Elephas maximus indicus: one gene and its partners. The protein of the gene in region 2 binds, or shares a complex with, the protein of the main gene of each other region. Links are inferred from orthologs where the notes say so. Each region holds a gene or a part of one and is shown on either strand. Other genes may lie near its edges. The genes, in order: RNF113A, SRRM2, BUD13 and DHX16.

Evidence for each region.
Region 1: SRRM2 (region 2) and RNF113A share a complex: the UniProt entries of both Homo sapiens proteins name them as parts of the minor spliceosome. The link is inferred for Elephas maximus indicus from reciprocal best matches to the Homo sapiens genes SRRM2 and RNF113A.
Region 3: SRRM2 (region 2) and BUD13 share a complex: the UniProt entries of both Homo sapiens proteins name them as parts of the minor spliceosome. The link is inferred for Elephas maximus indicus from reciprocal best matches to the Homo sapiens genes SRRM2 and BUD13.
Region 4: SRRM2 (region 2) and DHX16 share a complex: the UniProt entries of both Homo sapiens proteins name them as parts of the minor spliceosome. The link is inferred for Elephas maximus indicus from reciprocal best matches to the Homo sapiens genes SRRM2 and DHX16.

Annotation. Positions count from the first base shown.
Region 1 is NC_064846.1:37,014,757-37,022,485, forward strand, and holds the start of RNF113A (E3 ubiquitin-protein ligase RNF113A), read left to right. Parts: upstream 1-4,520; 5' UTR 4,521-4,656; coding exon 4,657-5,685; 3' UTR 5,686-7,729. Other genes in the region: NDUFA1 (NADH dehydrogenase [ubiquinone] 1 alpha subcomplex subunit 1), read right to left, coding at 3,310-3,399, 4,267-4,368. UniProt on the Homo sapiens protein: Required for pre-mRNA splicing as component of the spliceosome. As a component of the minor spliceosome, involved in the splicing of U12-type introns in pre-mRNAs. E3 ubiquitin-protein ligase that catalyzes the transfer of ubiquitin onto target proteins.
Region 2 is NC_064830.1:59,943,086-59,951,383, reverse strand, and holds the start of SRRM2 (serine/arginine repetitive matrix protein 2), read left to right. Parts: upstream 1-5,236; 5' UTR 5,237-5,319; intron 5,320-8,298. UniProt on the Homo sapiens protein: Required for pre-mRNA splicing as component of the spliceosome. As a component of the minor spliceosome, involved in the splicing of U12-type introns in pre-mRNAs.
Region 3 is NC_064835.1:9,018,928-9,027,128, forward strand, and holds the start of BUD13 (BUD13 homolog), read right to left. Parts: upstream 3,044-8,201; 5' UTR 2,972-3,043; coding exon 2,829-2,971; intron 1,049-2,828; coding exon 955-1,048; intron 1-954. UniProt on the Homo sapiens protein: Involved in pre-mRNA splicing as component of the activated spliceosome. As a component of the minor spliceosome, involved in the splicing of U12-type introns in pre-mRNAs.
Region 4 is NC_064819.1:90,992,311-90,999,598, reverse strand, and holds the start of DHX16 (pre-mRNA-splicing factor ATP-dependent RNA helicase DHX16), read left to right. Parts: upstream 1-4,022; 5' UTR 4,023-4,209; coding exon 4,210-4,416; intron 4,417-5,630; coding exon 5,631-5,878; intron 5,879-5,975; coding exon 5,976-6,138; intron 6,139-6,149; exon of another isoform or gene 6,150-6,248; coding exon of another isoform or gene 6,249-6,275; exon of another isoform or gene 6,276-6,376; coding exon of another isoform or gene 6,377-6,441; coding exon 6,442-6,498; intron 6,499-6,648; coding exon of another isoform or gene 6,649-6,721; intron 6,722-7,288. Other genes in the region: PPP1R18 (phostensin), read left to right, coding at 343-362. UniProt on the Homo sapiens protein: Required for pre-mRNA splicing as a component of the spliceosome. Contributes to pre-mRNA splicing after spliceosome formation and prior to the first transesterification reaction.

The DNA of each region.
Region 1 (7,729 bases), on a different chromosome or scaffold from region 2:
GAAAACGCTATGGAATGCAGCTCTACTCTGACACACGTGGGGTCGCTACGAGTCAGAATCAACTCCACAGCAACCAGTGTTTTTGTTTTAGGTTTTCTTCACTTAATTACGCAAAAATTAAGATGGATAATATCTAATGTTGGTGAGGATGTGAGGAAGCAGGTATTCTCATATTTGGTTGCTGGAAGTAGAATTTGATACAATCCTTCTGAACGGCAAGTTGGCAGTATCATCAGCATTCAAAAGGCACTTCATTTTGTCCAACCATTCCACTCCTAGGAATCAGTCCTACAAAAATACCCATACACTTATTCCACGCACTGCCCTGGGTCCCCAGTCAGGCAGGCCTCCCACTCCGCAAGGGTCGTCTCCTTTCTGGATACTGTCACATGCCCAGCTCTGTACTCCTCAGGTAAAGAAAGGTTCCTGCCTGATACCAGACTGCTCAGAGGAAAATCAGAAAATAAAACCTATAGGCAAATATCAATGAATCACAGATTATTCCGCCTAGAGAAGAGAAGGCTAAGGAAGAACTCCAGAGCAGCATGGCTGCAGATGTTCTTCAGTTCCACGGAGGACCAAACAAGTGAGGAAGGCAGTGATGGTGGGTAAACGCTTAACAACTGGCTCTCCCGGGGAAAAAAAATGTGCCTACGTGTGTGTATTTGTTATAAATGTTACTGAAATAAAGGATGTATAGGATACAGCATACAAATACTAAGAGATAATATTCTCCATTTTAAGTCCCATGTAGCTAACTGATTTTCACAGAATGCTTTCCTTGGTTTTTGCCAAACTTTTCTATCTGTTGCTAACTCATGATTGCAATCCATCTATGAATTGACAAGTGCAGTTGTATTCCAAGCTGCTCTTTTCCCAATTAACTCACTGTCATTAAAAAAAAAAAGAATGTGCCTAAAGAAGGCATGTGCTAGAATTTTTGCTGCAACATTATTTGATCAAAAAATAAAATAAAAAAGGAACTACCCCGAGTATTCTTCCACCAGTGGAAGAATAAGCTGATTACCTGTGGGACTTCTGCATCAGATACCTAGGAGGCACAACTTCTGTCAGGGACAAAAAGGCACCATCATTTCTCTTCGTGATCAGCTACAGTCGATGTTAAATATCATTTGAGATGATTCTTTAGGATACGGTGTTTTACACCACAGTAAAAAGAACATAGACTAGCCATTTCTCAACCTTGGCACTACTGACATTTTAGACCAAATGGTTCTCTGTTGTGGGTGCCTAGCCTACGCATTATAGGGATGTTTCACAGCATCTCTGGTCTCCACCCATTAGATGCCAGTAGCACCCCCCCCAAGTTGTATGAAAAACATCTCCAGACATTGCCAAATGTCACCTTGCAGGCAAAATCGCCGCTGGTTGAGAACCACTGATATAGACCTATATGTACCAATGAGGGAAGATCTCATCTCCAAGATGTCCTATTAGATAATACTAAAAGAATAATATGCACAGGATGATCCCATTTTTAAAAAACTGTATGTATAGATAACATGCATAGGTACAGGAATACACAGGGAAAAAAAGCCTAGAATAATACACAACAAAATGAAAATAATGCTACCTCAGGAGAAAGGAGAAGGATTGCATGGGTAGCTATGCATGTTGGGGTGGGGGAGAAAAGGGGCCTTTGTTTTTTACTGTTTGTATTCTCAAAATTTTTATACAATGCATTCATAAATTACTTACGTAATTTTACAAAAAGAAGTTAAATGAACTCGGACAAGTACTCTGTAGACAGTAGGGCACTAAACAAATCTAAGCTCTCATATCAGTTGACTAAAGAGATTTAGACAGGTGCTTGATTGTACTTGGCTCATGATTTCATCCACAGACAAGCACCTATGATGCATGAATTCTGTTAGGGATTAAAGCAACACTATCATTTCTCCTTACGATCAACTACAAAAAAATAAATAATTTTCTATGTTAAATACAATGTTAGGTGATTCTTTAGGATAAGGTACTTCTTCCACTGTAATTTAGAAAGTACTATCAATTTTTTTATCAATTAGTCTTTATTTCTATTCAAAAATCTCAAGAAGCAACGCGAGGCTCAGCTAATGTAAAATTAAAGTGACTTGACCATCAAGTCCAAAACTCCAGACTGAAACAACTCACCAAATTCCATCTTCTCCCCTCTCTATCAGCACTACATCTTCACTTTTATTCCCCACAGTATCTTAGGGCTTATTTCCTTCACTTCCATCTTAAGCCTATTGCAACTTTGTGTTTTGGCTTGGTTTTTATACACATACCCTTTGATCTAGTGTAAAACACATTTGCCCAGATATCAATCTGCATTTCCCCCAGATTATGGCTTCTAATCAGACTTTTATATTTCCATAAAAGATACTATGGTTGGATTTTGGGGGTGCCAACAGTTTTGTACTCTAGATATTCAAATGGAAAGAAACTGCTGTCAACTTGTAACAGTAAAATGACGGTAAACGTACTGTTTCAAGGAATTTCAGAGTACAGTATTTACAGATTTTAAGACCTACATTACATTATCTAAGTATCAATGAATTCGAGTCCATAATTTCCAATGCCCCTAAGCCAAATAAACCTTAAAAAAAAAAAAAAGACAACTCAGAAGTTAACCAGAAGAGAAGGAAACATTTATTAAGCTTATAATGCTGAGTTCCTCACACAGGGAACAAATACTGTCATACCACAAAAACTCTATCAGGTAGTGTTTAACAGTTTTGTCATACAACTGAGGCAACAGAGGGTTAGAGAGACCAAAAAGACCTAAGTAGGGCAGAAATTCAAATCCAAGTTTGTCCAACTCTAAAGCTGGAGTATTTCCCACTTGGATACACAAACTAGTCCTCTTAATTGATCCTCTTTTCTTTCACTAATATATACCACGGTCACTTGAATTATATTTTTAAAATCAAATTTACAATGTTTAAAAATGTACAGATTTATACAAAAGAACAGTCATCAAAAACTCACCCACAAATCTTTTTTTAAAAATATTGACTAACCACTCTGTTGGTCAATTGCTCCCCGTCTCCTGGATTACATAAGCCAGTAAAATCTCAAAAACAATTTGGGAACTGACAACAGCATTACCAGTTTTTTATTCTGACAAATGAGGCAATGAAAAAACTAACTACAAACTGGACAAGTAGTACAGTGTAGGGACTAAGGACATGGGCTGTGGCTCAAATCTCAGCTCCCACCATTTCCTTACCAGCTTATGACCCAGGGGGAGGTATTACCAGAACCCACCTCAACCCTGACATGTGGTTGGCATCATGGTCATCTTACCTTTGATACGTAGGAAGAATCCACCCCAGAGACCCGCCTATCTCTTTGCATCAAATGCCACTGATATGGAAAATGGGCAACCCTTTTCTCCTACAAATAAAAAACAATTATTATTGCACTGTATAAAGATGGATGACCCAATTGCTGAATATCAGAACTTTAAAAAAGCATCATTGTAGAAAAAAAGGAACAATCACTGAAATAGAAACCAAATTAACAAGACCAGAATCTCCTAAATAAAAATCAGACCACTAAACTTTACAATTAAAATGGTCAACATGACTTCTTACACCTTTCTATTTTAACCAGCCTCACTTTCTTTATTTCTGTCCCCCTTTTTTTGGAGGATAGTTTACTTGTTATCTTTTAGGACACCAGAGAACAAAAACAATAGTGGTGGGTAACACGTGAAGGGCAATCAAAACCCAGAACATAATTTTATACCATTACTGTATTCTAGGGATGATGTGAACGGCTAGGAAGAGGGAAAAATTAAAACCTGATGAGAAAAATAGGGTCTTGGGGTAAATTCCTAAAGGCTTGCAAGAGAAAATAGGGAATTAAGAAAATGTCAACGGAATAACCTAATTAAGAGCAGAGAAACGTGGATACGAGAAATTAAAATCAAACCCGAGCAAGAAAAAATACTGATTAGAGGTCGAGGGGAGTAGAGACAAGACTAATCTTTCTCTTGCTTTGGACCCACCTCTTCTCATCTCCTAATCCCTACTCTGCCTTTTTGCCCACTCTCCTCAGAACAGCAACTAGCTGTTTCTTGCTAGAATAGGATGCGGTTTCCGTCGGACTTCATTCCGCAAGCATCCATTTTCAGTCATCACTAAAAAAAGAGGTGGGCGGACCTTGGTATCCCCCACCTGAGAGAGAAGCACCGGAGCCTAAGGGCCTCCCTGACCCGCCAGTGCAGTGTCGACCCCAAGACTGGGGGAGCTGTCTTACCTTTTTCCTGGCACTGAACCTGTGGATGTACGCAGTGGTCACTCCGGGGATTAACAAACACGCCGCCATGACAGCGATGCCAGGGAGAATCTCGAACCACATCTTGGCAGAACCTCCTTCTAGATCACTTAAAGGTGACCCGGCTTCGGCTTCCTTCCCGGTAAGCTCCGCGGCGCTCCACGAGTGCGGTGCGTCACGCCTTCTCCGGAGGAAGCGACGGGGTCCGGTAGGGCTCAAGAGTGCGCGATCACGCCCTCGCGCTCAAGGGTTTTAGCAGTGTTTTCTGTGGCGTCTTCCTCCGGCCCACAGGAGAGCGCAGGTCGTGCGGTGACTTGACGGGGCCCGCGCTTTCCCACACGCCGGAGCCGTTTGGGAGCTCAGTACTCCAAAATGGCAGAGCAACTTTCTCCAGGAAAGACGGGAGACCAGGTGTGCACCTTCCTCTTCAAAAAGCCGGGACGAAAAGGTGCTACAGGCCGCAGAAAGCGCCCTGTCTGCAACCGAGATCCCGGAGAAAGCAGCAGCAGCAGCAGTGAAGAAGGCAGCACTGTGGTTCGCCCGGAAAAGAAGAGAACGATCCACAATCCGATGGTACAGAAGACGCGTAGCAGCGGTAAACAAAAGGTGGCTTACGGCGACTTGAGTAGCGAGGAGGAGAATGAGCCCGAGAGTGTTGGCGTGGTCTACAAGTCCACCCGCTCAGCGAAACCCGTGGGGCCAGAGGATATGGGTGCAACCGCTGTCTATGAGCTAGACACAGAGAAAGAGCGTGACGCACAAGCCATCTTTGAGCGCAGCCAGAAGATCCAGGAGGAGCTGAGGGGCAAGGAAGATGACAAGATCTATCGGGGAATCAACAATTATCAGAAATACATGAAGCCCAAGGATACGTCTATGGGCAATGCCTCCTCGGGGATGGTCAGGAAGGGCCCCATCCGAGCTCCCGAGCATCTACGTGCCACGGTGCGCTGGGATTACCAGCCCGACATTTGTAAGGACTACAAAGAGACTGGCTTCTGCGGCTTCGGAGATAGCTGCAAGTTCCTCCATGATCGTTCAGATTACAAGCATGGGTGGCAGATCGAACGTGAGCTCGATGAGGGTCGCTATGGTGTCTATGAGGATGAAAACTATGAAGTGGGAAGCGATGACGAGGAAATACCATTCAAGTGTTTCATCTGTCGCCAGACCTTCCAAAACCCAGTCGTCACCAAGTGCAGGCATTATTTCTGCGAGAGCTGTGCACTGCAGCACTTCCGCACCACCCCACGTTGCTATGTCTGTGACCAGCAGACCAATGGCGTCTTCAATCCAGCGAAAGAAGTGATTGCCAAACTGGAGAGGAATCGAGCTGCTGGAGAGGGTGGTGCTTCCGATTTCCCAGAAGACCCCAATGAGGATCCAATTCCCATTATTTAAGTGTCTCATAATTCTCAGATCTCAGAATAAATGTTTTGTTGTTTTGGAAATCTTGTGTCCTGACTTTCTAGGGAAGGTGACTGAGAGGAAAAGGCAGGTAGTGAAGTAGGGTCCTAAATGACTTAAAGCGTCAAGGTAGGTACAACCTGGATTTTTAGTCCTGGGATAAACACTTTACTTGTGTGTAGCATATACTTTTCAGAACTCTTTGGCATAAATTATGGGGATGGGATTTTGAAGTTTGAGAAAAGAGCTAGAACTTGTTTGAAGTAACCAAGGCTGTGATGGGAGCAAGAACTGGACCTATTTATTGTATCATATTTCTGTATCACTTAATAGTTTGCTAAGTATGTTCACATACCTTTGTTGGGAGCCCTGAGGGCCTGTACTCATACTGACTTCAAAATGCACCAGAGCCAACATATGTGATTGGGGGGTGGCAGGAAGAATGGGGTTGGGGGACTGGTAGCTAGCACCACAGGGTGCATGTATGGTAAGTGGTCCTTGTTCTTTCTGAAGCATCTATAGGTAACTCCCCCACTCTTTCACAGATGATAGAAATAGTCTATGCTGTGCTGTCCAATATGATAGCCACTAGCCACATGTGGCTCTTGAGCACTTGAAATGTGGCTCATGGCCAAGTACTGGATATCACAGTTCTAGATTGAACTTGTGAACCTGCAGAAGGCAAAAACCTAATATTTTATAACTCATTATCTGAAATTATCCATGTTCTCAGAGACTATAACAGAGCTGGTCACGTCCCAATATAGTTAGTCTATGTACTCTTCACAACTACTTTGTGAACTCCTTCAGTGACTAGCCCAGTGCTTATTAAAATAAGCTCAGAGAGGTTTGAAAAGGGAGACTGGGAACAAAGCCTTGAATGCCAAGGTAAAGAGCTTCGACTGTATTTCTGTAGATAATGGGGAAACAGAGGATTGGGGACGGGAATACAGACTTTTTAAAAATATTTATTGTGGTTGCAAGCAGAGCCCTGGTGGTGCAGTGGTTAAAAGCTCAGATGCTAACCAAAAAGGTCAGCAGTTCGAATCTACCAGCTGCTCCTTGAAAACCCTATGGAGCAGTTCTACTCTGTCCTATTGGGTAGCTATGAGTCGAAATCGACTTGATGGCAATGAGTATGGGTGGCTGCAAGCTATAGGATGGATTGCAGGAAGATGGAAGACAAGCAAGAAGGCCAGTTAGGCCAAATCATTAGCACATGGTTATCGATCTAACTAGAACTTGGGTATCCCAGGAAACATGCAAGAATACGTTGTGGGGTAGAGTGTCTTTTATTCACATTCATTAATCCATTTAAAGATATTCTTTGAGCAGCTGCTGTGCCAAGAACTGTGCTTGGCATAGGGGATATTAGCAGCTTCTGCCCTCATGAAGCTGGACATTAAACAATGACAAGTGTGATGAGTATCACAAAAGAGTGCACTGGGCTGATGTCCCAGGATTAACCCAATCCCTATTTTAGAGGACTTCAGAAACAAACTCACTTGAGACAGTGTGACACATTCTATAAGAATATACAAAGTAAGATGGGAATACCTGAGAAATTGCCTACTGGGAAAAGTGTTTAAGAAAGCCTCATAGGCGGCAGTGGTAGTTCAATGGCAGAATTCTTGCCTTCCACGTGGGAGACCTGTGTTCGATTCCCAGCCAATGCACCTCATGTACGGCTACCACCTGTCTGTCAGTGAAGGCTTGTGTGTTGCTATGATGCTGAACAGGTGTCAGCGGAGCTTCTAGACTTAAGAGAGACTAGGAAGAAAGGCCTGGCAATCTACTGAAAACCAGCCAATGAAAACCCTATGGATCCAGAGCTGATTATTGTAATTGCTGTCAATAAGCTGTATACCTGTAAAAAGTTGAATTGTGAAAAGCTGTGTCATATTTACAATGACAAAAAAAGAGTAGCTGTGAGACTGTTCATGTACAACCAAAAACTTCATGGGATTTGGTTCCTTGGTGTAGGGTCATGGTTTCATGGGACATCCCAGTTAATTGGCCTAATAACATGATTAGTGCT
Region 2 (8,298 bases):
AAAAAAAAAAGTTAAAAAACAAAAAAATAATACTGCCCATCAGGAGGCTTCCAGGAGCCTCTTTTCATTCCCAAGGCCCACATAGGGCCCAGTCCTGGTGGGTGTCAGTACAAGTCTGCCCAGGCGAAGCTCCACCCCTGGATCCAGGGCTGGGCACCCACCCAGGCTGTCGGACAAGGAGAAGGACGATGCTGGGATTTCAGGTGGCACAGAGAATGCATGTGCAAAGAATCTGAAGAGATGGCGAGATGAGACTCAGCCTCCCTGCCTGCGCAGAGACCGTGGGGACCTGCTTCTGAGTCTCCCCAACAGCAAGGAGATTTGTTTTTCATTGTCTGTCAGGGAAGCATGTGTCTGCTGACACTGGGGCATGCCCTTCATGTTGAACCCCTTCCTAGTGCCAGGTACTGCACTAGGTGCCAGGGCACTGACCAAGACAAAGACGCAGACTTGCCCTCGAGGAGCTCATAGGCAATGGGACAGGCAAATAATCCTGACCATAGGGGAGGCAAGGTCCATGGTGGTTCAAACCCACTCTGCAGTGCCACAGAAGAAAAGCCTGGTGATCTGCTTCCTAAAGATTGCAGCCAGAAAACCCTATGTCTATTTCCCAGTTCTGTCCTCCAAAAGGTCTAGAAGCAATGACACCCATAGCAATAAATGCCCAGATCTCAGTTTCTAAATACATTCTCTAGTGACTTAGTTATCTGGTTCTGCTATAAGAGGAATACCACACGTGGTAGCTTTAACAAATGGAAATTTATTTTTGCACAGTTTAGGAGGCTAGAAGTCCATATTCAGGGCACTGGCTCTAGGGGAAGAGACTCTCTCTCTTGGCTGTGGGGGAAGGTTCTTGTCTCTTTTCAGCTGCTGTTTCTTGGTTTCTTGGTGATCTTCATATGGTGTGGCATCTATCTTCCCCCATCTCTGCTTGCTTCTCTGTGCCTGATCCGCTAGGTTTATATCTCAAAGCTGATTGGCTTAAAACACACCCTACACTGACACAGCCTCATAAACATAATAAAGAAAACCCTATTTCCAAATGGCGTTACATCTAAATTATAGGGGTTATAACTTAAAATACGCTTTGGGGGGACACAATTCAATCCATAACAACTAGATACTTAAAAAAAAATATTTTATTGTGTTTTCAGTGAAAGTTTATACAGCAAATTAGGTTCCCATTTGACAATTTCTACACAAATTGTTCAGTGACATTGGTTACATTTTCACAATGTGTCAACATTCTCTTTAATTGCTTTCCGGTCATTCCATTTCCAGTGCTCTAGTTTCCCTGCCCCCTTATCTTCTTATCTTTGCTGTACAGTAAATGTTGGCCTTTGGTCTCATATAGGTGTGTTTTTGTTTTTTAAATTGTGCTTTAGGTGAAAGTTTATACGGCAAATTAGTTTCTCATTAAACAATGCACATACTGTTTTCTGACATTGGTTGCCAACCCTGTGACGAGTCAACACTCTCCCCTTCTTGGCCTTGGGTTCCCCATTTCCATTCATCCAGCTTTCCTGTCCCCTCCTGCCTTTTCTCGTCCTTGCCCCTGGGCTGGTGTGCCATTTAGTTTCACATTATGGTTGAACTACGTGTGTTACTGTTTGTTTTATAGGCCTGTCTAATCTTTGGCTGAAGGGTGAACCTCAGGAATGACTTCAATACTGAGTTAAAAGGGTATCCGGGGGCTAGATGTGTTTTTTTAGATACTTTTATTTTTCAGTTTTACAGCAGAAAAACCTGACTGACCCCTTCTGAGCCAAATAATCAAAGCTAGCATCAGCAGTTGCCTCTTGATAGGATGCACTGAGAAGAAGGAAGCTTCACGTCTCTGCTCTTCCTGCCCAAAGTACACAACCTGAATCTAATCAGGAGGAAACATCAGACCAACGCAAACTGAGGGGCATTCTAGAAAACAAATGGCCTGTATTCTTCAAAAACTGGCAGTGTCTCGAATTACAAAAGCAGCAGCACATACTGTTCCAAATTAAAAGGAGTCTAGGGACATGGCCTCAAACACAGCAAGGACTGTGAGGGTGACACAGGACCAGGCAGTGTTTCCTTCTGTTGTACCTATGGTCGCTATGATATGAATCGGAAACGACTCCACAGCACCTAATAACAACAAGGGAGTCCCTGGATGGTACAAACAGTTAACACAGCTGCTCACTGAAAGACTGGAGGTTCAAGTCCACCCGGAGGTACCTCAAAAGGAAGGCCTGGAGATCCACTTCCAAAAAATTGGCCATTGAAAACTATGGAGCACAGTTCTACTCTTGACACGGAGTTGCTGTGAGTCGGAGTTGACATAAAGGCAACTGCTAGTGATGGTGACTGGGAGACATAACAACTAAATGCAATGCTTGCATGATCTTGGATTTTCTTTTTCTATAGCAGATGTTATTAGAACAATTGAGGACATCTCAATAAGGTCTATAGATTAGATAGTAATACTGCCTCTAGGTTATTTTCTTGATTTTGATCATTGTACTGTGGATATATAAGGGAATTCATTATTTTCTCTGTAGAGAAGGATAATAACACCTACCCCACTGTACTGTTATGAGCATTAACTGAGCTGATTCACATACAGAACCCAGCACAAAATACTCAATAAATATAGCGAATATCACTGGGAATTCCATTATAGGCAAGAGGATCTCACTGGGGATGGTGAGGGGTTAAAAAAAAAATCCACCTCCACCCTTAGAAATACCAGCTCAAGCCCAGAAAGACAAAGGTACTTGGTCATACTTACCAAGAAGTGTGTCCAGCTCACGGAAGCAACGTGCAAAGGTGCCCAAAATCAAGGAGGCAAGATTAAAACAATTCCCTGGACACTGTAAGCTGAAGTTATAGGTTGTACACCAAATGGAAAGTCTCCCTGTTCTAGTGTCAGAGATGAGTATATCTTTCTGTGGGCAAGTTAAAAAAAGAAATCTTAATAATATCAAGGGTAAGTCCTGAAACTCAAATTGACAACAGTTTATTAAGCAGCTATTATGTGCTAGGTCCTCACAATCCTCACAATTGTGAGGAAGGCACAGGACCAGGCAGTGTTTCATTCTGTGTACACAGGCTTGCTGAGTTGGAACTGACTCTAGTTGGAAAGAACTCGATGGCACCTAATAACAGTGAGCTAGGTTAGGTTCCTGGGTGGTGCAAATTATTTTTGATCAGCTGCTAACCAAAAGATTGGCGATTGGAACCCACCCAGTAGTGCCATGGAAGAAAGGCCTGGTGATCTGCTTCTATAAAGATTACAGCCAAGAAAACTCTATGGAGCAGTTGTGACACGTGCGGTTGCCATGAGTTGGGATCAAGCCCATGGGCAAAGGTTTGGGTTTTATGTGCTAGGTCCTGTTGAGGATGCAAAGACACCAGACATAACCAGGACAGCTACATATAGAGTCCAAGGTCGGCCAGCAAGTGGTGGAGTCAGATTTACACTTTGGGCTTTCTGAGAAGCTCAGCTTCTTACAACTCTGTTCTGAGGATGCCTGGCTACTTCTGAGACTCAGAAAAATGTACTTAAAAACATCATCAGGAAACATTCTGCGGCAAGATGGAAAACTTAAGGGCTCTTATATGTCTTCCTTACATTTTTGTGTGTTGCCAGGCGGAAACCCCAGGTTCTGTTGAGCATGACTTTCGTATTGGTCAATAAATGAGAGACCAAGGTGGGAAAGCAGAAAGGAACCTTTATTTCATTGTAAAATGAAAGGCATCAGTTAGAGCTGCTGCTGCCATGGCTGCTCAGCGAGGGCAAGGGGAAAGTTTACTTTCAAAGAGTTTACAAGTGAGGAGTTCATACAAGTTATGTCAGCAATTCTTAATCGTACTACGAAAGCGCAGTTCGTCACCAGGACTTTTTTTTATAATGATTCTTATTGCGCTTTAAATGAAAGTTTTCAAATCAAGTCAGTCTCTCACACAAAAACCCATATACACCTTGCTACACACTCCCAATTACTCTCCCCCAATGAGACAGTCTGCTCTCTCCCTCCACTCCCTCTTCTCTTGTCCTTTTCTCCAGCTTTTAACCCCCTCCACCCTCTCATCTCCCCTCCAGGCAGGAAATACCAACATAGTCTCAAGTGTCCACCTGATCCAAGAAGCTCACTCCTCACCAGCATCCCTCTCCAACCCACTGTCCAGTCCAATCCATGTCTGAAGAGTTGGCTTCGGGAATGGTTCCTGTCCTGGGGCAACAGAAGGTCTGGGTGCAGTGACCACCGGGGTCCTTCCAGCCTCAGTCAGACCACTAAGTCTGGTCTTATGAGAATTTGGGGTCTGCATCCCACTGCTATCCTACTCCCTCAGGGGTTCTCTGTTGTGTTCCCCGTCAGGGCAGTCATCGGTTGTAGCCGGGCACCATCTAGTTCTCCTGGTTTCAGGATGATGTAGTCGCTGGTTCATGTGGCCCTTTCCATCACCAGGATTTTTACGGGGCAGGCCAAGCAAGCTGTTTAAAGCATTTGAATTTTCTGAAGCCTGTGGACTTCTGCCTTATGTGTGTACACATTCACATATAAAACATCCCAGATTCAGTATGAGAAAATTGCATCCCTGCCTGGTCACCCTAGCTGGGAGGCAACAGAAGATTATTCCCCAGGGTCTCCTCCTGTCTGCTGGCGTCTGAGGCAGCTTCTCAAAACTGCAAAAGGTTGGGGTCTGCAGCCCATAGTTACAAGCAAGAATCAGAGTCGCTGCGCTCCGACCATCACCCCTAACATAGGAACATAAAATGGCGGCCGTGCTCCGAGGCCAAGCCACATACGGGTTCTGTGGCACGCCGGAACTACAACTCCCAGAATGCTCCCGGCCGAAGGCCGCCGGTCGCTGTGGCCCTAGGCTCTGTATTATTGCCCCCGCCCCCCAACCCTCCCAACCGTGGAAGGCCTACGGACACGTCTCCAGCCTTCCTCGCACTGGCCGATGGAACTCGCAGTTTTTCGGCCTCAAGGTTGAATCTCTCTGGGGCCTTAAGAAACTACACTTCCCAGTGGCATTTGGGCACAAGCGCACAAGGCCGTGGGGCATACTACGGTTCCCGGAGGGCCCTGCGACGCGCGCGATTGCGTGATGACGCGCTGAGCGAGTCGTGCTGACGTGCAGCGCGTGCAGCGCGGCCCAGGCGGGGTACCAGTGGCGCAGTTGGAGCCCGCTGCGGCCCGAGTAAGCGAGGAGACGTCAGCATCGGCTGAGGCGGGCAGACCAGCGAGGCGTGGCGGCGGCAGCGGCGGCTCCGGGCCTCAGGGGACTCGGGAGCTCGAGCAGCGGCAGCGGCGGGACCTCTCCCGATCAGAAAAGGCAGGCGGCGGCGGCGGCGGCGGCGGCGGCGGGTGAGAGGGTGAGGGAGCGCGTGAGCTGGGTGGGGGAGGGGCGGCCGCGGCGCGAGGCCAAAGCGCGCGGAGAACGGCCCAGGCCGCCTCGCGCACGCGCTCTCGGCACCCCCGGCTTGTGTGGACGTCTTAGCCTGCCTGCTTCCCCTCCCCCCTCCTGCGGCTCCTGTTGCGCGCGGGCTTCGACTCCCCGCTCTTCCCCCATGGTAACGGCGCGCGCCGCTGACCGCCCTCGTGCTCGCGCGCTCCGGTCGCGGCGGGCGCGCGCGCTCCTCGGTTCCTCGCCGCTGCCCGCGCGTGCGGCCCGGGAGGGCCTTGTCGGCGTTTCTGAGGTGCGGGTGGTTGGGTGGCGGAGGGCCTGACCCCAGGTCCTTGCCCCCGCCCCCGGTCTTTTTCCCCCGCTTTTCTCTCGGGTGGTAGGCTCCGCCGACCCCCCGGGAGGCCCGGGTTCATCCCACTCCTCCTAGACTGCGGGGCGCTGCGCCGCCCCCTCCCCCACCCCGGGAGGCCGAAAATAGGCCTCGGCGGCCCAGACGGCGCAGTAGGGCCTGGAAACAGTGCCTCATGAAGCACAGCGCGTGGACTGGGTACTATTTTCCATGGAGTATTTGGGGTGGGGGGCGTACTTTAGAAGAGCCCATGTATTCAGCTCAGATCTTAGATTTATAGAGTGCGCACCGCGTGGTCCTTTTTTCTCCACTTTTTTTTTTCCGTCACTTCTCCAAATTCGTGCTAAAGCGTGGGAGGCTGTCCAGTCCTTGGTTGTGGAGAAAACGCCGGAATCTGTTTGAGAGGTCTGGCGTTCTGCTTCAAGCACTGTTTGGTGCAACGTTTCTGAGTCTTTTTTTTACAGAGTCTCAGTTACTACTCACACATCTCTGTATTCTGGATCGAGAAATTTAAAAGTTTGTTCTGTGGTCTTTCCTTGTGTAATCGTGTTCTGTCGAGCCCACTCAGCCACTGTAATGCCCCAGCCCTGAGCGTGTTGTCCGTATCTTGCATTTTCTTGGGCATTCTGCCTCTCTTCTTGGTGCATTTTCTCTTCTTGAGTGCCTGTACTGAATTTTAGTTTTTTCCTCTGCCTCTTTTATTTGGCACCCCGATAATTTTCCCACAGAAAAAAATTCTCCTGTTTTTGCAGCTCGCTTTTACTTAGTGCCTGTACCTTGGGTACATTTTGCATATCCACAATTTATGGACCTAGTTATAAGAATCTGTGTTTTATAAAGTGGCGTGGTGGTTTGTATGTGTGTGGTTGATATTCCCCTTTGCATGGCTGCTTTCCTTTTAGTGTTTTGAGCGCTGCCTTGGATGCCATGGTATTGGGTTTTTCTTTTTTGGCTCCTCCCCTAAAAGTTCTGTAATTCGTTGTGCCGTAATACCCTTATCAACTTAGCAGCTGCTAGGGAGTGGGCGGATTTTTGTGTGAGGTGGTATGGAAGTGTGCCTGAATGGTTAACTGAAGAATTTCAGGTCAGAAGCATTCTCTAAGGGAGCAGCAGATTTTAGGCAGGCCATAGAGGAAAGAAGGACTTAGGTGTGGAGAGTGGGAAGGATTGGTATTTAAGAAAATAGAAATAAAGATTGGAAGGCAGAACATCTATTTTCTGTGCTGTAAAGGAAGTTTTTTTTGTTTAATCTTTTTGTGCATTTGCATTTGCTTTCCCTAGATAATGACCTCACCTGTTCCTCCTTTAACCTGGTATAGTTCCTTTTTTTCCTCCTTCATTCTTTTGGGTCTGCTGCTTGGGTTGAGTGGTCATTCTGGAATCTCCGTTCTTTTCAGCATCTTTCCTCCTTTTTTCTCTTACCACTTTAGTGCATTTTCTAGTTATTCATGTGATAATCCTTTGTTTTGAAGTTTAAGTGTAACTTTTTTTATCTGATTATTTCATTTGCTTTTCCTCACCTCTGCCTAATGTGTCTTCTTTGCCTGAGCCTTGGGTCTTTTCCTGTGATAGTTTGCCCTCACACATTTATGCTTTGTAAAACTGTCTTGGCGAGGATGGGCGAGAGAAAGGAACGAAGAGTGTAACATACAGCAGGAGACAGGAATATGTGTGGCTAAGAAATCTGAGTAGAAAAATGGGGGCCTGGCGCTCTTTAGGGTCATGCGTGGGGTGGGAGGCATAGGAGTAACAGGAGAAAGGGTAAGGTGAGGCTTATAAGAGAATAACCAGAAAGTGACATTTAGGGTATCGGTAGTGAAAGCCAAGGACGGGTTAGTATGACTGAAAGTGAAGTGTAGAGAATATTGGTGGGTTTAGGGCAAATAGGGTAGAGAAGCTGTGAGAGTAGTTTTAACAGTGACTAGTTTGATATATTTAAATAGAATTTGAATTGAAAACAGGTAGTATTTAATGGGAGCTAGAGTCGACTGGTTTTTTAGTAAGATTTGGAGAGAATTACCAATCAAATGAGAAATCTTATTGAGAAGGAAATTAAGGGAAGAAAATATCAATCAGGACAGTGGAGAGGAGCTATGAATATTTAGAATCAAGGAAGTGGCCTCTTATCTGGGAGGTGAAGTATTAGAGCATTATGTATCTAAAGTTCATGTGGTTTCTGATGTGCTTGCTGGCCTTCATTCTGAGTGAAAGGCTGTACAGGACGCTTGTTTCTCTTAACCAGTCAGGCCACTTGCTCAGATGAGTATGGGCCCTTTAGTCCATTTTGTATATGTACGGTGGCCTCAAAGCCTCAGGTTGTATCTTGGAAGAGACTTGGACTACAGGCCCTAGGATGCTACAGATCTGTGTCTGGTGTTGGTCATGCCCTATTTGGAGGCCTCAGTCAGTTACCAGAGGTTAGGAAGATGCTATTTGTGTGTATTGGAACCAAAGCAGGATGAAGGGACGACAGCGGAGAGATGTGAGAGAAGTACGATTCTTGTTGGTCTAGGGTGGAAAAAGACAAAAATGTAGGTGCAAGCAGGAATGATTCAGAA
Region 3 (8,201 bases), on a different chromosome or scaffold from region 2:
AGAGCCAAAAAGTGAAAACAATCGGACTGTCCACCAACAGAGGAATGGATAAACAAGATGTGGTACACACATACAATGGAATATTACTCAGCCATAAAAAGAAATAAAGTCCTAATACACATCACAATAATGGATAAACCTTGAAAACATTAGGCTGAGCAAAATAAGTCAGCAACAAAAGGACAAATACTGTATGATCTCACTAACATGAAATAAGCATATATATAGAAACCAAAATTAGTGGTTACCAAAGGTGGAAGGGAGAGGAAAAGGGGGAATTTTTGCTTAAGGGCACTAAGCTTATCTTTATGGTGGTAAAATAATTCGGAAAAAGATAGTGATGAGGGTTGTATAACAAAAAGAGTCAACGTCACTGAATTATGCCTGTATAAACTGTTGAACTGGCCAATGTTTTTTGTACGTATTTTCACCACAATAAAAAAAAAATCAGTCTCCCCTTCTAGGGTATGCTCTCTAAAGTACAGATACTATATTCCATTAATCTACATATCTCCAGTACTTAGGCAAGTTTATACAATTTTAAAGCTTAGTTAAATCAATGAATGTTGCTGCTATTGTTAGTTGCTGTCAAGTCGTTTCTGACTCATGGGTGCAAATAAAAAGTTCTCTATAACTGAACTCGAACATTGTTCAGAAGCTGGATTCCCACAAACTGAACTGTTGCTAATTCTAGTTATTGTTCTATCACTGATGCTGAGGAAGTCCTGCCTTGCTCTGTGACTGGTTCCCATTTCTAGGCTAATGGGTCCCTGGATAAACAGAGAAGTCAGTGTAGAGGCATATGTCAAAGAAGACTATTTTAAACAGCTCTTTGGAAAATGGCATCTCTTCTCTGCCCTCAAATTTCCCTCATACAAATCTGTCCTGCACTGGGAGTACAGACTGGGAGGTTTACATCATTTCCAAGTTCCGACAGCCCCAAAAGATATATACCACAGGCAAATCTCCATCATCTTCCTCTTCCTCCTTCTCTGGTTTAGTGGTGGAGATAGCTGTCCAACTCACATCATCATCCACAATCCGCATTCTAAATGTGAAAAACAAAAGATAAAAGAAGAAAAATCATTCTTGGATAACAGCCTAAGAGCACTTATCCATCTGGTTTTAGGAATAAAGTTCAAAATCCTACACATTCCTGCGTGATCCGGCCTTTGCCTAGGTGGTCAACGTCATCTTATACTGCTGCCCTCTCAGTTCACTACCTCACGAGCACCTGAAACGAGGCAAATTTCTTACCACATCAACTTTCACATACCAGTTCCCTCTGCCTGACCTGCTCTTCTCCTCATTCTTTACCAGAAACCTCTTACTCATTCTTCAGGTCCCAACATAAATTTAACTCCCTTAGGCATACCCTCCTTGATTGGTCCTCTCCCCTAAGTCTAAGAACCCCCGTTACACACACTCAGAATACTTTCACTGCATTTACCACAAAGGAATCAATTTATTGTGTAAACAGTTGTTTAAGGCCTGTATCTCCAATAAACTGTAAGCTCCATCAGAACAGGCACTACGTCTTTCTTGTTCATAGAGGCCTTGTCGACACCCTGCAGTAACTGGCATGTGACGTATTCAATAAGTGTGTGTTACAGGGATGAACTATAGATGACAGGAAATAACATTAACTGCCATCACATGAATAGCTATTATTTGAAAAGTCAGGGATATTTTATAAATCATCTCTAATCACAACAACATAGTACCTGGGAGGTACTAACAGTTAATGTGCTCAGCTGTTAACAAAAGGCTGGAAGTCTGAGTGGCCAGAGTCTACCCAGATGTGCCTTGGAAGAAAGGCCTGGTGATCTGCTTCTGAAAAATCAGCCACTGAAAACCTTAGAGAGCACAGTCCTACTATGACACATGGGCTTGCAATGAATAGGAATCAACTCCGTGGCAGCTGATTTTTTTAAATCACAAAAACCATTTAATACAAGCAGTATTATTTACTATTATTCTCATTTTCAAGATGGGAAAACTGAGATTCAGAGAGATTAAATATCTTGCCCAAGGCCACACAGCCTATAAAGTGGCAGAGGTAAAATTCAAACTCTGAACAATGTTGCCCCAAAGCTAAGCTATTTCACTACATCGCACTGCCTCCAAAGAATCCACCCGAGAGAAAGGGACCCAAAAACACAGAAAGCAAAAAAAAACAGAATCAAACCAGGAAAGGCAATAGATTAGTTCCTTGGAACCCTTTGACACCGCTGGGCTACAAAAGTTTCCTTGTTTGTAAAACTGTGATAATAACAATAACGACTCCGTGGTAGTGTTGTGAAGCTTAAGTTCATGTATGTGTAAAGTACCTAGAACGGTGCCTGACATACGGCAAGAAGTGTGTACGTGCCAGTCGCTGTTGGGGGCATTAGCAGCAGTAGTGACCAGGGCTCTCCGACTCAGGATCACGAAGCCTTTGGGACTTTTGAGAACCCCACGGGCAAGTTCAGGACCCTAAATCCGAGCACCAAGGCACTGAATTAGCTCCACCCCCATTCTCAGAGCACGATATTCATTAACTCCGGAGGGGTCGGAAGGCTACCAAAGCGGGAAAAGAGTCATGGAAGTCACAGCCCAGTTTAAACAACCGAAGACGCTGCTCAGCAGCGCGAAGGGTAAAGGCGGGCAGCCACAGCGGGCCCAGGCCCCGGCGCCCCGAGTCGCGCGCCCTGAGCTTAGGCAGCGGGCGGACGAGCGGGCGGAGCGGAGGACCCAGGCCGGCGAGGAGAGCAGGCAGAGCCCCGGCCGGCGGCGCAGAGACCAAGGCTGAGGGCCGCCACAGGCCCGCCCCCGCGGTACCCACTCACCCCTTGCCGCCGGCCCCTCCGGGCTTCGCCCGCTTTTTGCGACGCTTGCGACCGGACTCGGGGCCCCCGTCGACGCCGGCATCTGCCCCAGACAAGTACCGCTTCAGATACTCGGCCTTGGAGAGCGGCGGAGCTGCCGCCATGGCAGCGGCGCGGGCGGGGAGACGGCTCGCCCCTGGGGTCAAACTTAGGGAACGCGGAACGGACGGCAGTGACGGGAGGGGCGTGGCCAGACCCGGAACTGGCGGAGCGTCGGAGCACCGGCGGGGAGACCTCCCGGGTGACGCGTTCGTGGACCAACCGGAAGTGCAGGCACGTCTAGGGCCCGTTGTGCGTACTTGTGAGGACGTTACCTTATTGTGTGTCCATCCGTTCATTCACCAAACTTTGCAGTAAGCGCCGTTCTAGCCTTGAGGCTACAATCACGACCCAACGAGATATCTGCCTCCAGCAGCTTCAAAGCACCATATACGTAGTGGTTAGCATAGGCTGTGGAGTTACAGGGTATTTAAGTTTGAATCCTGGCTCCGTAACTTCCTAGTTGTAAAACCTGGGCAAGTTATTTAACAAAATGGGGACAATAATAGTACTTAATCAGGATGATTGCGAGATCTGAGATGACGTTACTGTGTAACGTGCTTAGAACAGTGTCTGGCGCAGTTACCGATAGTTATTTTTATTAGCAGTGTAAGTATCTTTAGGTGGGGAGAAGTTTAACAAGCTTCCAGGTACATTCAAGAGGGGAGATCAAGAACTTCAGACCCAGTATGTTGTTAGTCAGGCCGCTTCCAACTCATGGTGACCCCACGTGTAGCAGAGTAGAACTGCTCCATAGGGTTTTCAAAGCTGAAAGCAGCCAGATTGCCAGGGCTGTCTTCCGAGATGCCTCTGGGTGGGTCCAAACTGCCAATCTTTCCACAAGCAGCCTAGCATTGAACTGTTTGTGCCACCCAGGAACTCCTAGACCCAGTATAATTCCTGTGAAAAATACGGAGGTTTCTAAAATCTGTGTAACTTCTGCACATCCAGTTTCATTGGTTGCACCTATCTACCTCTTGAAGGAAATTGTGTAAATCTTTCCATTGAAAAAAGACCTGGACCTGCTTTCAGCACAGCCAAAGAGTAAAGCCTGTGAGATCAAATTCTAATACTCAAGTCTTGGGGGGAGAAGACAAGAGTACTTGAATTATCTCATTTAAACCCTCACAACTATTCTCGGTTTATCATCCTTATTTTACAGATGAGGAGATGGAAGCTTGGAGAAGATAAGGGAAGTTGCCCGTTATCACACAGCAAAAAGGTGGCAAAGACAGGATTCAAGCTCAAGCCACAGGACTCTTGGGAGCAGAGGTTAGGGAAGTGCAGTAAAAAACGTGATCCAAACTTTTTGAAATAAAATATTAGACTGGATATTTTCTTTTTATAAGGTAAATTTTGTCGGTTTTAGTCAAGTAGGCATTGTCATACTTTATAACTAAATACACATACACTGCGATACATGCTCAAAAACTCGTTTATGTTGTTGTTAGTTGCCGAGTCAACTCTGACTCGTGGTGACCTTAGGTATAACAGACAAAACATTGCCCAGTCCTGCGCCATCTTCGTGAACATTGACTTGAGTCCATTGTTTCAACTATCGTCAATCCATCTCATTAAGGTTTCCCTTATTTACCAAACATGATGTCCTTTTGTAGTGATTGATCTTTCCTGATGATATGTCCAAAGCAAGCAAGCCAAAGTTGTGCCATCCTTGCATCTAAAGAGCATTCTCGTATTTCTTGAAGACCACTGCTCTGAAGAATGAACTTCTAAGCACTGGGCTATAATCTGAGTGGCTGCCACACCAGCCCAGAAAAGAAAGCAGGCTGGGTCCCTGAGGGGTTATGAGGAGACATTGAGAAACTAGGGCATCACTAGCTAGAGGTTTCTACAGGTCCCCCATATGCAATGCTGCCTTGGCTTAAAGTCCAATTTGTTAGTCTCAAACTGCCTCCACCTTGATGACAACAGGCATTTGGAAAGGCTCACATTTCCAATCTAGTCGATATTACCAGTATGCCCTTCTGGGCCCTGCCAACCCATCTCCTGACCATTTCTGGCTTCTTCAGTTCTGTCCCTACCCATTCTACCCAATCCTCAACCTTGGCTTGACAAGACCCAACCTCAATGGATCCCAACCCTGTCTGCTTCACAGGGCAATTAGGCAGGACCAAGAAAATGCATGTCTGGTGGCATGGTCTGAGCTTTGCCCTCTCTCTACAGTTGCATTGAATAAGGCAATAATAATTATTATTATTATTATTATTTTTATGGACATGAGCTCAAAATATTGAGAGCTCAAGTTGCACAGTCAGATTGGCCTGGATTTGAAGCCTGCCTCTTAACTATACTTCATTTTGGAAGTTATCTAAGCTCTCTGAAGCTGTTTCCTCACCTGTAAAGTGGGGATAATTTTGTTTATTTATAGCTATTTCCCAAAAAGGACTTAAAGCAAAAATGGAGACACTTCAGAATTTTTTAAGGATTGATGAGAGAAAATACAAATAAAAGGCACTTCACAATTATTAACTCAGCTAATTCCCAAAAGCCCCTACAAAAAAAGGTACCATTATTTTTATCCCCATTTTACAGACCAGGAAACCAAAGCAGCAGAGGTGCCCATACTAGTGGACTTTCTAAACTCTAAAGTAAATATGCAGACTAAGTAGCACTGCCTCGTTCTTTTATGGTTAAAAATGCTGCCATTTTTCTGTAAAGGGTGGGGAGAAGTGTGCAGATTTTTTAAAAAATAAGAAGCAGCCAATAAATTCATAGAGTCAGGAACTGTGGTTGCCAGGTACTGGGGGAGGGAGGAATCAGGAGTTACCGTTTAATGAGTATAACATTTCCATTTGGGGTGATGAAAAGGTTCTGGAAACAGTGAATGTTCTTAATGCCACTGAATTGTACACTTAAAAATGGTTAAAATGGTATATTTTGTTGTGTATTTTACTATAACAACAAAGAATGAAGTCAAGCAGTCTTAAACACCACTGCCCTAAATATAAGCAGACATGGTATTCCCTGCAATGTGCAATAGGCAGCTGACATACCACGGGTGTATGAAGACAGAAACATACTGACAGTGTCGTAACAACAGAAGTCTTCCTCACCCCACCAGTGAAGCTTTCAGTTAGCGAGGTCATTGCCCTTCATACTAATTCCCAGCACTCACCACATCTCCACCACTTACTCCATTACGACGACACAGGTACACATTCAGGACCTACCTGTATGTTCACAGGTCTGATGACCAAATATAAAATATAGCTGTATTTAACATGTATGAAATATGGTAAAGTAGATAGAATGCCCTCAAAATAAACTCTTCTTTTTTTTAATATAATCACAAAACTTCCCATGTAAGTTTTACTCTCATGGTTGTGAAATTAAATCTCCACGTTCTTAGGCCGGCAGCTTGACTCTCTCACCTCCCCTGGCCTTAGAGCAGAGCCCTTGTTACCTCCATGTGCCCAAAGGGCTGGATCCAGGATGAAGGATTCACAAACATCAGCCAAGGATTATGACAGATCATCTGTATGCCATATGCTAGGGAATGTGGGGCAAGACAAAGTTAAGCAGATGTAGGCTTCCATCTCGGGCAGGCTGTATGAAACGTGACTGAAAGAGTTCAGGGACACTTTAAAAGTGTGAAAATGAAAGATGCCAGGCCTTTGTCCTATCAAAGAGCAAGGAGTACCTTAGCTGGGTTATCCCAGTCTGGAACCTGGTCATGTCTTGCAGGATATCATTTCCCAGTAACTGGGGGACTGCCTCATGCCAACCAAACTCAGAAGACTGACAAACCAGAATGCCATTTGTTTTCCCTTCACAGTGGAAGATGAAGCTGACACTGGGGCTCGTCTTCACAGAGCACATCCACCCGCGCCACAGGGCATTCACCAGATGATAGACCCAAACGGTGTCTGGTAAAGTCAGGTTCCCTGGTCAGCTGAAAACACATCTACAGGCAGTCTCTTAAAGTAGAATACTTGCACGTGAGAAATCTCATCAAGGTATTATAGTTTATAGTTGCAAGAGCGAGTCATTCGCTAACCTTAGTCTCCAAATTCATAAAAAAAAAAAAAAAAAAAAAAACCTTGTATTCAGGCATGGGGGTCAGTCCTACATGGAAGTAATAAATGCCAAAGAATCCAATACAGGCAGGTTTCTGAAAACAGAACCTTTAGAAACAAATACATTTCAGGAAGAGGGAGGAGGCAGAGATTCCAGATAAGGCATGATCGAAGTGAAAAGGAAACCAGAGGCACATTACTATCACAGGAACCAAGGGAAAGGTTGAGAGAAGAGAGGGTCCACTGTCAGATGTGGAGAATAAAGGGTGAGAATATTTTCCAAGTGGAAAACCACTTGTAAGCTTTGGGAATAGTTTAATAGAGCAGTGAGACTGGTTGTGATTGCCAAGCCATCCATAACTAGGCAAGTCTTTGTAGCACAAACCTTAAGGTTTGAGGTAGCATCTCAATCAACTAATAGGTCTTTAATGAACAAATTACCCTGCAGCCAGCACCAAGGGCATCACCATTTGTGAGACTGCCTGGAGTTAATAGGAACCTGGAAGCTACAGTCAGAGAACACTGGCCGAACAGTAGCCAGGGAGTCTAGAGCCCTGGGCTAGAGTGCTCACTGGGCTGTTAACTTCCAACACAGCTATAGACAGCCCTCTCCCTCCCTGGCCGAACCTGAGTTTCCCCATTTGTAACTGAGAGAGTAGGACCAGATGATCTCAGATATCCCCACTGGCTCCAGCATGCTCCAACCTCATACCTTTGCAATCTCCTATGCCTGGAAATCTCTTTCCCCAGCTATCCACATGGCCTACTCCTTTGCCTCCTCCGCTTTGGCCAAATGTCAAATTATCACTTTCTTGTTGAGATTTTCTCTAATTGAAAACTATCTGAAATCACACATACACAACACTTTTCCTGGCAGCACCCACAGCCGTTCCCAGCTTTACAGTCCTCCACAACACTAAACGCCATCTGCATACCGTTTTACTTATTTGTCCACTGTCAGTTTCTCCCACTGTCAACTGAATTCATTGTCAATTGAAGCTCCATGAAGGCAGAGGTTTGGTGTGCCTGGCACATCACAGGCATTCAAACATCTCTTGAAGGAATGAATGAAATTTCAGCTCCAATCCCAAATTACAATGGCCACATTAGAGAAAGTTTTATTCAGGAGTCTGAATTCTAACAGCATAGTATCAAACAAGGACAGAGTGAATACCTAGGCCAGCGCTGTCTGAAAGCCATCACTTTACTAACTTCACCTATGCTGGCCTCCCTCCCCTGAGAAGGTACTTCTCCTGTT
Region 4 (7,288 bases), on a different chromosome or scaffold from region 2:
GTTCGACCCCCTATAGCAGCTCTACCAGAGAAAGATCTGGCAATCTGCCCCGATAAAGATTATAGCATAGAAAACCTGACGAGGCAGTTCTGTTCTGTCACATGGGGTCGCTATGAGTCTAAAATGACTTGACCGCACCTAATAACATAAGAGTGCCTAGAACAGAATGCAGTACAAGGTAAATGATTGATGGTTGCTGTTACTGGTAGTAACAAGCACTCAAGACGAGGAAGAGGTTATAGGATTTGATTTCCTATATGCCAACTGCCCTTTAACTTGGGGCAAGGAGGGCAGGAGGCAAAGGCCCTCACTCATTCTCTATCATTATTGCCTCTTGTACAGATGAGTCCTGCCGGAGGTGACCCTCCCCCACACAGGGAAGATATATTGCCCTCCTTCCCAGAACTGAAGATCCTGGAGCCTAGAAGATCTTGGGCAGACAGACCCTGAAAATGAGCGTGGCAGGGAAGAACAACCAACATCCCCCAGCTTGCTTTTCTCGTCCTGTTTATGGGGGCAGAGACAACTGCTCAACTTCAACCCTAACCCAAGGTCCCTGGTGTGTCAAACGTGCTGGTGCATCTAGGTGATCCAAGAGTGAGTCCCAAGCCCTGGACAGGTGCACAGAGCCCACTGGGGGTGTGTGTGAAGATGGAGGACCCCCCATTTCCATGGGCACAGACACTGTCCCTACAGCCTTCCTTAGCTCCCCTCCCCACCAGGTACTCTCAGGATTTAAGCACTCATCTATGTCCCTGGGAGGCCTGGCCTTCACTCCGATCCCTAGATCACCACCCTTGTGTTTACAGCTCCTGCCTCCTCTCTTGACCACAGCCTGGTTTACAAACCCCACCAACTCCCAGCCCCATGCTGCCAAAACCCCACGTTTACAAGCCACGCCCACTTGCCGAGTCCACGTGGATTTCCTCTCCCCCCTCCTTCAGTTGCCTCATTGGGAGTCGCCTGGGGCGTGGCTCCTCCCACTTTTGCTCAGTATTACTGTGCCTCAGTTTTCCCCAAGAGGGAAGGCTGGGAATCTTGACTTTGTACTCCCAGATAGTTATTTAATTCTGTTCCTCCTAGTGGTTCACAATTGAATTGTAAGAGTGTGGGGTGACTAAGGAGGCACCTGCCTTTCCTTCTTTATGAATGTGGTTTTGTTTTTTAACTTTCCGTAATAAAATGGAGCTTTCTCCGACTCTCGTGTTGCTTCTCTTTCTTTAGAAAAAAAGAAAAAGTGTATGTGGAGGAAAGGCTTCGGGTTCCTCATTTCCAAGCCTCTCTCATCTTCCCATTGGCAGTGAAGAGGAAGGGGCTGTGGCTGTGGGAAGGAAGAATAATGGAGGATGAACCAGGAACTCAGCACTGAGTATAGAAGGGGCTTTAGGAGAGCCTTGCATGGGTTTCACGTGCAGGACAAGCAGATGTGAGGAAGGACAGTTGAGGTGTTCAGTAGACTAGAAGTATCATGAGGGCAGACTATGTCAGTTGGGTTCACTGTGGTGTCTCCACATCTGGCACCTAATAAGCACATAATTACTTCTAGAATGACTGAACAGATGAATTCATGAAAGGAGCTATAAAAAATAAATCTGAAGCACAGGACACTGAATTAAAGGATTGCAATATCCAGATGCTGGCTGCCATGCAAGCAACTGTAATGTGTGACACAACTCATGTGGCTACTGCAGGAGCTTTTTTTAGTCTAAGGTTTGGGGCCATCAACAGTCAGTCCTCTGAAACTGCTGCAAAATTTAGTGACTATCTACAGAAGGTCAAGTTCCTGGAAGAGGGTCTCCTCTGATAGGCAACAGATTTTATATTCTAAAGGGTTAAGAACCACCATAATTCATGGCTTTGGTACCCATAGTTGACATTAGGGGATTTTCTTATTTCAAAGAATCTATCTTCTATGTGTAACATCTGCTATAGTTTACCTATTTTTTCAGTTGCCATGAAGTTGATTCTGACTCATTGTGACTCCATGTGTGTCAGAGTAGAACAGTGCTCCATAGGTTTTTCAATGGCTGATTTTTTTTTTTTTTTCAGAAGTAGATTGCCAAATCTTCTCTTCTGAGATACCTCTGGGTGGACTTGAACCACCAACCTTTCAGTTAGCAGCCAACCACGTTAACTGCTTTATACCACGCAGGAAACATTTTACCTATGAAGTTATTTATTAGCTCTTCAGGCTAGTAAAGGCATAGTTGAGTAGTTATAGTCCTTTTACCACTACACAGGATGCCTCATCCAGTCTAACCAGAGGAGACCCCCCTTTGTTAAAAAACAAAATGTATTAGACAAATTAATCTTAAGCATATATGACAAGCAAGGTAACAAAAGAGTGAGCAGTTCAGAGAGGGTGTGGGTATGGAGGGGAACAATTCTTTTATCAGTAGCAAATTCAGTAAAGATTCTAACCAGTTGTGACCTAGAAAAGCTGGGGCAGGAAGCTCTAAGATACCAGGGGTGGTGCTCTCAGTCCACCTCTGAAACAGAAAACAAGGCATCCAAGAAGTCAATGATATGGATCCCCCTGTGCCTTTTAATGGAATAACAACGTTTCATTTTCCAACAGTAGTGTCTGATAAGTCCAATCAACCACAAGAGTATGAAGGAGGGTCAAACAGGTGAGCCAGCAGAGCTTCAGGTAACAAGTTTGCTTTCAAATAAGCAACCATCAGTGAATTACTCAAGCTATTACCAAAAGTGCAGAGTTTGCTCATTCCTTAGTTTGGATTCCCACCCCCCGCCCCAACAACTTTCTGAGCATCAAGAAAAGAGAACATCTTTGCTTTTCCCCCCAGTTCCCAAGTTTCTTCTGTCTGGAGGTCCCTCCTTATACCTAACCTGTGTTCACTCCTGCTGCAGGTACGGGTCCTAGCAAAGGTCCCTTCTCATCACTGGCTAATCTTTCAGAAGCATGGGCCTGAATTTCCTATTTGAAATATAACTCCTCTCCCCCTTACTTGCTTTATTTTTGGTTCCATAGAACTTACCTATTTTACATATTACCTATCTTGTCTGCCCGCATCCTCAAATGTAAATTCGGTAACGAATTTTTGTCTGATTTGTTCTCTGCTGTATCTTCTGCAACTAAAAAAAAAAAAAAAAACCCGCTGCAGTGGAGTGGATTCCAACTCATTGCGACCCTATAGGACAAAACAGAACTGCCCCAAAGGGTTTCCAAGGAGTGCCTGGTGGATTCGAACTGTCAACCTTTTGGTTAGCAGCCATAGCTCTTAACCACTATGGCACTAGGGTTTCCCTTCTGCAACTAGAACTACCTCAAACAAACAAACAAAACCCCACCAAATTCATGGCCGTGGAGTTGATTCTGACTCATAGCGACCCTATAGGACAGAGTAGAACTGTCCCATGGGATTTCCAAGGCTGTAAATCTCTAGGAAGCCAGCTGCCACAACTTTCTTCTGCAGAGTGGCTGGTGGGTTTGAACCGCCGATCTTTTGGTTAACTGCAGAGCACTTTAAACAATTAAAACCAGTTGCTGTGGAGTCTATTCCGACTGACACTTTAACCCCCCAAAAAAAACCACTGCCGTGGGGTCGATTCCGACTCATAGAGACCCTACAGGACAGGGTAGAGCTGCCCCACACAGCTTCCAAGGAGCGCCTGGTGGATTCGAACTGCCAAACTTTTGATTAGCAGCCATAGTACTTAACCACTAAACCCACTGCCGTCGAGTCGATTCCAACTCATAGCGACCCTATAGGACAGAGTAGAACTGCCCGATAGAGTTTCCAAGGAGCGCCTGGCGATTGGAACTGCCGACCCTTTGGCTAGCAGCCACAGCACTAGGCCACCATACTTAACCACAAATAAAAAAACTCAGTATTTGTTGAATGAATGAGTGAAGCACCCACGAGCTGACCAGCAGGGGGCGATAGCACGATTGGGTAGAGGAGGAAATGGGGGGAGGAAGTGCTTTACTCCGAGCTTCTCGTACGGTAACGCGACGCTTGAACTTGTTCGGCCACCGTAGTGCTCAGGCCGGAAAAGCGCGTCCGCTTCCGGCTTTCGGGGTCCGGGAAGACGGACTGGGTTTGTTGGAAACTGAACCCGGAGGCCGTAAGTGGGCTCCTTTGCGGAGTTTAGGGTCCGGCTCGGGGGTCCAGGCCTCTAAGCAGACTGGCCCCAGCTCGGCTCGTCCGGACGCTTCAAGGCTGGGAGTGGTGACCGTAGGTTGCCATGGCGACGCCGGCCGGGCTGGAGCGCTGGGTGCAAGACGAGCTGCACTCGGTACTGGGGCTCAGCGAGCGGCACGTAGCCCAGTTCCTGATCGGCACCGCTCAGCGCTGCGCTTCGGCCGAGGAGTTCGTGCAGCGTCTGCGAGACACCGACACCTTGGACCTCAGTGGCCCGGCCCGGGATTTCGCCCTGAGACTCTGGAACAAGGTGTCGGGAGAGGTGGAGCGCGACTGGGGCGGTGCCTGGCGTGGGAGCGGTAGGAGTAGGGGTGGAGCAGGGGAGGAGCCCTACGTAGGTCCTGGTGAGGCTGGCCTAAATGTCTGTCCCGCAGTTAAGTAACGTCAGTTCGCCAGGTGTGTATCCGTTGTCCGTTGTCACCCAGGTACTGTGCTAGGTGCTGGGCGTCCAGCTCAGTGGAGAAGATCGAGGAGAAGGCTTTAAGTATGTTACTTTTAGGCTGCGTTAAGTGCTATAGAACAGTGTGTTAAACTTGAACGTGCTTACGATTCATCTAGGCCCCTTGTTTAAAACGCAGATTCCGATTCAGGAGGTCTGGGGTGGGTCTCAGTTTCTGCAATTTCTAATATGCTCCCAGGCGATGCGGATGCTGCTGGTCCACTGACCACACTTTGAGTGGGAGGCCATAGAAGAGATTTGTGGGAAGTGCTGTGGATGGAGAAGAGGAATTAGTGACCAGAGAAGGCAGGTCCCAAGAGCCCCTAGAATTTGTCAGGTAGAGAAGGGGGAAGGAGTAGTGGTATAAATAGTGAGCTCCTGGAGCACAGGACTGTGTACTTCTTGTCTTTGTATTCCTACCACCTAAGTTCCTGCCTTGTAGAAAGAGTGAAAGTGTTCAGCATATTCAGAGAATGGCAGATAGCCTGGTGTGGCTGTGGTATATGCTGCATGGCGAGAGATGAGGTTATGTACGTGCCATGTGGACAAGACTTTCTTTTCACCAGTTTATCCTTGGAGTTTGATACAGTTCGGGGCATGTGACAAGCCTCTGCAAAACAACCCTTGTAGCTTGTCAGCCTTTTTTGTAGGAATGACCCAATCACTGGGAAGAACAAAGCCAGGAGAAAGAGGCTGAGCAATTGAGAATTGGCCTGAAAATGTAAGCTCCACAAGGGCAGGAATTTTTATCTTTTTTGTTTATTCCTTGTCTGTAGTCCCTAGAAAAGTACCTGAAACATAACAGGCTTAATAAATGTTTGCCAAATGAATGAGAGGACGTTCAAAAGTTGGAGGGTCCTATTAAGGCTAAGGAACATGATGTGAAGCCATGGGGAAGAGAGGGGGCAAAGGTTGGTTTAAGAGCGAGTAATTCCTCAAAGGGAAATTAACTTAGGCACAGGGCTAAGTAAGTGGGCAGAGGTCAGGAGTTGCTCGCACCCCATTACCTTCCCCTCTCCTGACAGGTACCACGGAAGGCAGTGGTAGAAAAGCCAGCTCGGGCAGCTGAGCGAGAGGCCCGAGCCCTGCTGGAAAAGAACCGATCTTATAAGTTGCTGGAAGACAGTGAGGATAGCAGTGAGGAGACTGTGGGTAGGGCTGGGAGCAGCCTCCAGAAGAAGCGTAAAAAACGGAAACACCTCAGGAAGAAATGCCAGGAGGACGAGGAAGAAGAGGAGGAAGTGATCTCTGAGAAAGAAAAGAGAAAGACGGGGTAAGTTAGAAGCAAGATGAGAGGGGATGGGGCAGGTGGATGATGGGACTATAAGCCCTGTGGATGCCCTTACTTAATCTCCTGGGCCGGGCTGCAGGGGGAGTAAACAGCAGACGGAGAAGCCAGAGTCAGAGGATGAATGGGAGCGGACAGAGCGCGAGCGCCTTCAGGACCTGGAGGAACGTGATGCCTTTGCTGAGCGCGTTCGGCAGCGGGACAAGGATCGGACTCGCAATGTCCTAGAGCGGTCAGACAAGAAGGTGCATAGGAGCCAGAATGTTCTGTAAATCCCCAAGAAGATCCCTGGGTCAAATCTGATGTTGGGTGTGATCCCAGAGATGGTACGAAGACAGGGATCATCTCTAGCAGTATGTTCATCTTCGGGTTCTCTGCTAAGGTACCTCCCTGCTGTACCTGCAGCCATAGAGATTCCTTACTGAGGGGATATTTCTCTGTGAGGGGGCACATCAGAATGATCCTTTGCAATTCTAAAGGGGGATGGCGATGGGTTGTCGGGGGGCTTCTTGCCCTCACAGCCCTCCCCTCTTGGTTTCTTCTCCTAGGCTTATGAAGAGGCTCAAAAGCGCCTCAAGATGGCTGAGGAAGACCGGAAAGCCATGGTGAGTCCCAGGGCCCATGAAGCCAATCAGAAGGCAAAAGGAAATACTTTCTGATGGCGAGATTAGGGGAGGGAGAAAGGATACAAAAGAAGTACAGTGGGGATGATGATGGAATGCCCAGGCCTCTGGAGGATGGTATTTGGTTGACAGGAGCCAGCTGAGCACAGAGGAACTTGGAGAAGGCCATAGGATGGAATCAAGCTGTAGAGGGAAGGAACCATGGGTGAGAGCTACCCACAAACCCTCCTTCACTCTTTACTTTAGGACCAAATCACAGTATGTATTAGGGAGATGTGAACCTTCCTTGTTCCTGGGACTTAGCGGGACTTACTCAAAAGGCAGCTGCGATGTCATCAACGGGTGGCTAGAGGGCAGGGGCAGAGCAACTGTCCCAGCTCCCCAGGGATGTCCTGACCACCATCTCCAAGTACCTTTCTACCACCTAATCCCTGCATCCCCCACATGGCTTTATGATGTCTCTGTGGCTTCCTGAGTTGGTGTTCTTACTGGACAGGGGCAGAGCCCTTTGTAATTCATGAACCAGACTTCTATGATGCAAGTCTAGGTAGGGTAGGCAGTTTCCCAAGGGCCTAGTTTCCCAAATAAGGTCACACTTAGATTTCTCAAAAGAATCTCGAGAATCTTTGAGTCTTAAGAATGGCCTAGTCACCCTCAGGTCTCTCCTGACTAGTCCATCTCGTGTCCCAGCCCACAGAAGGGCTGTGGTCAAAGACTTCTGAGACATCTCTTAGTGCAGTCATAGTGCTTTCATTTGCCTGGACTTAATTTT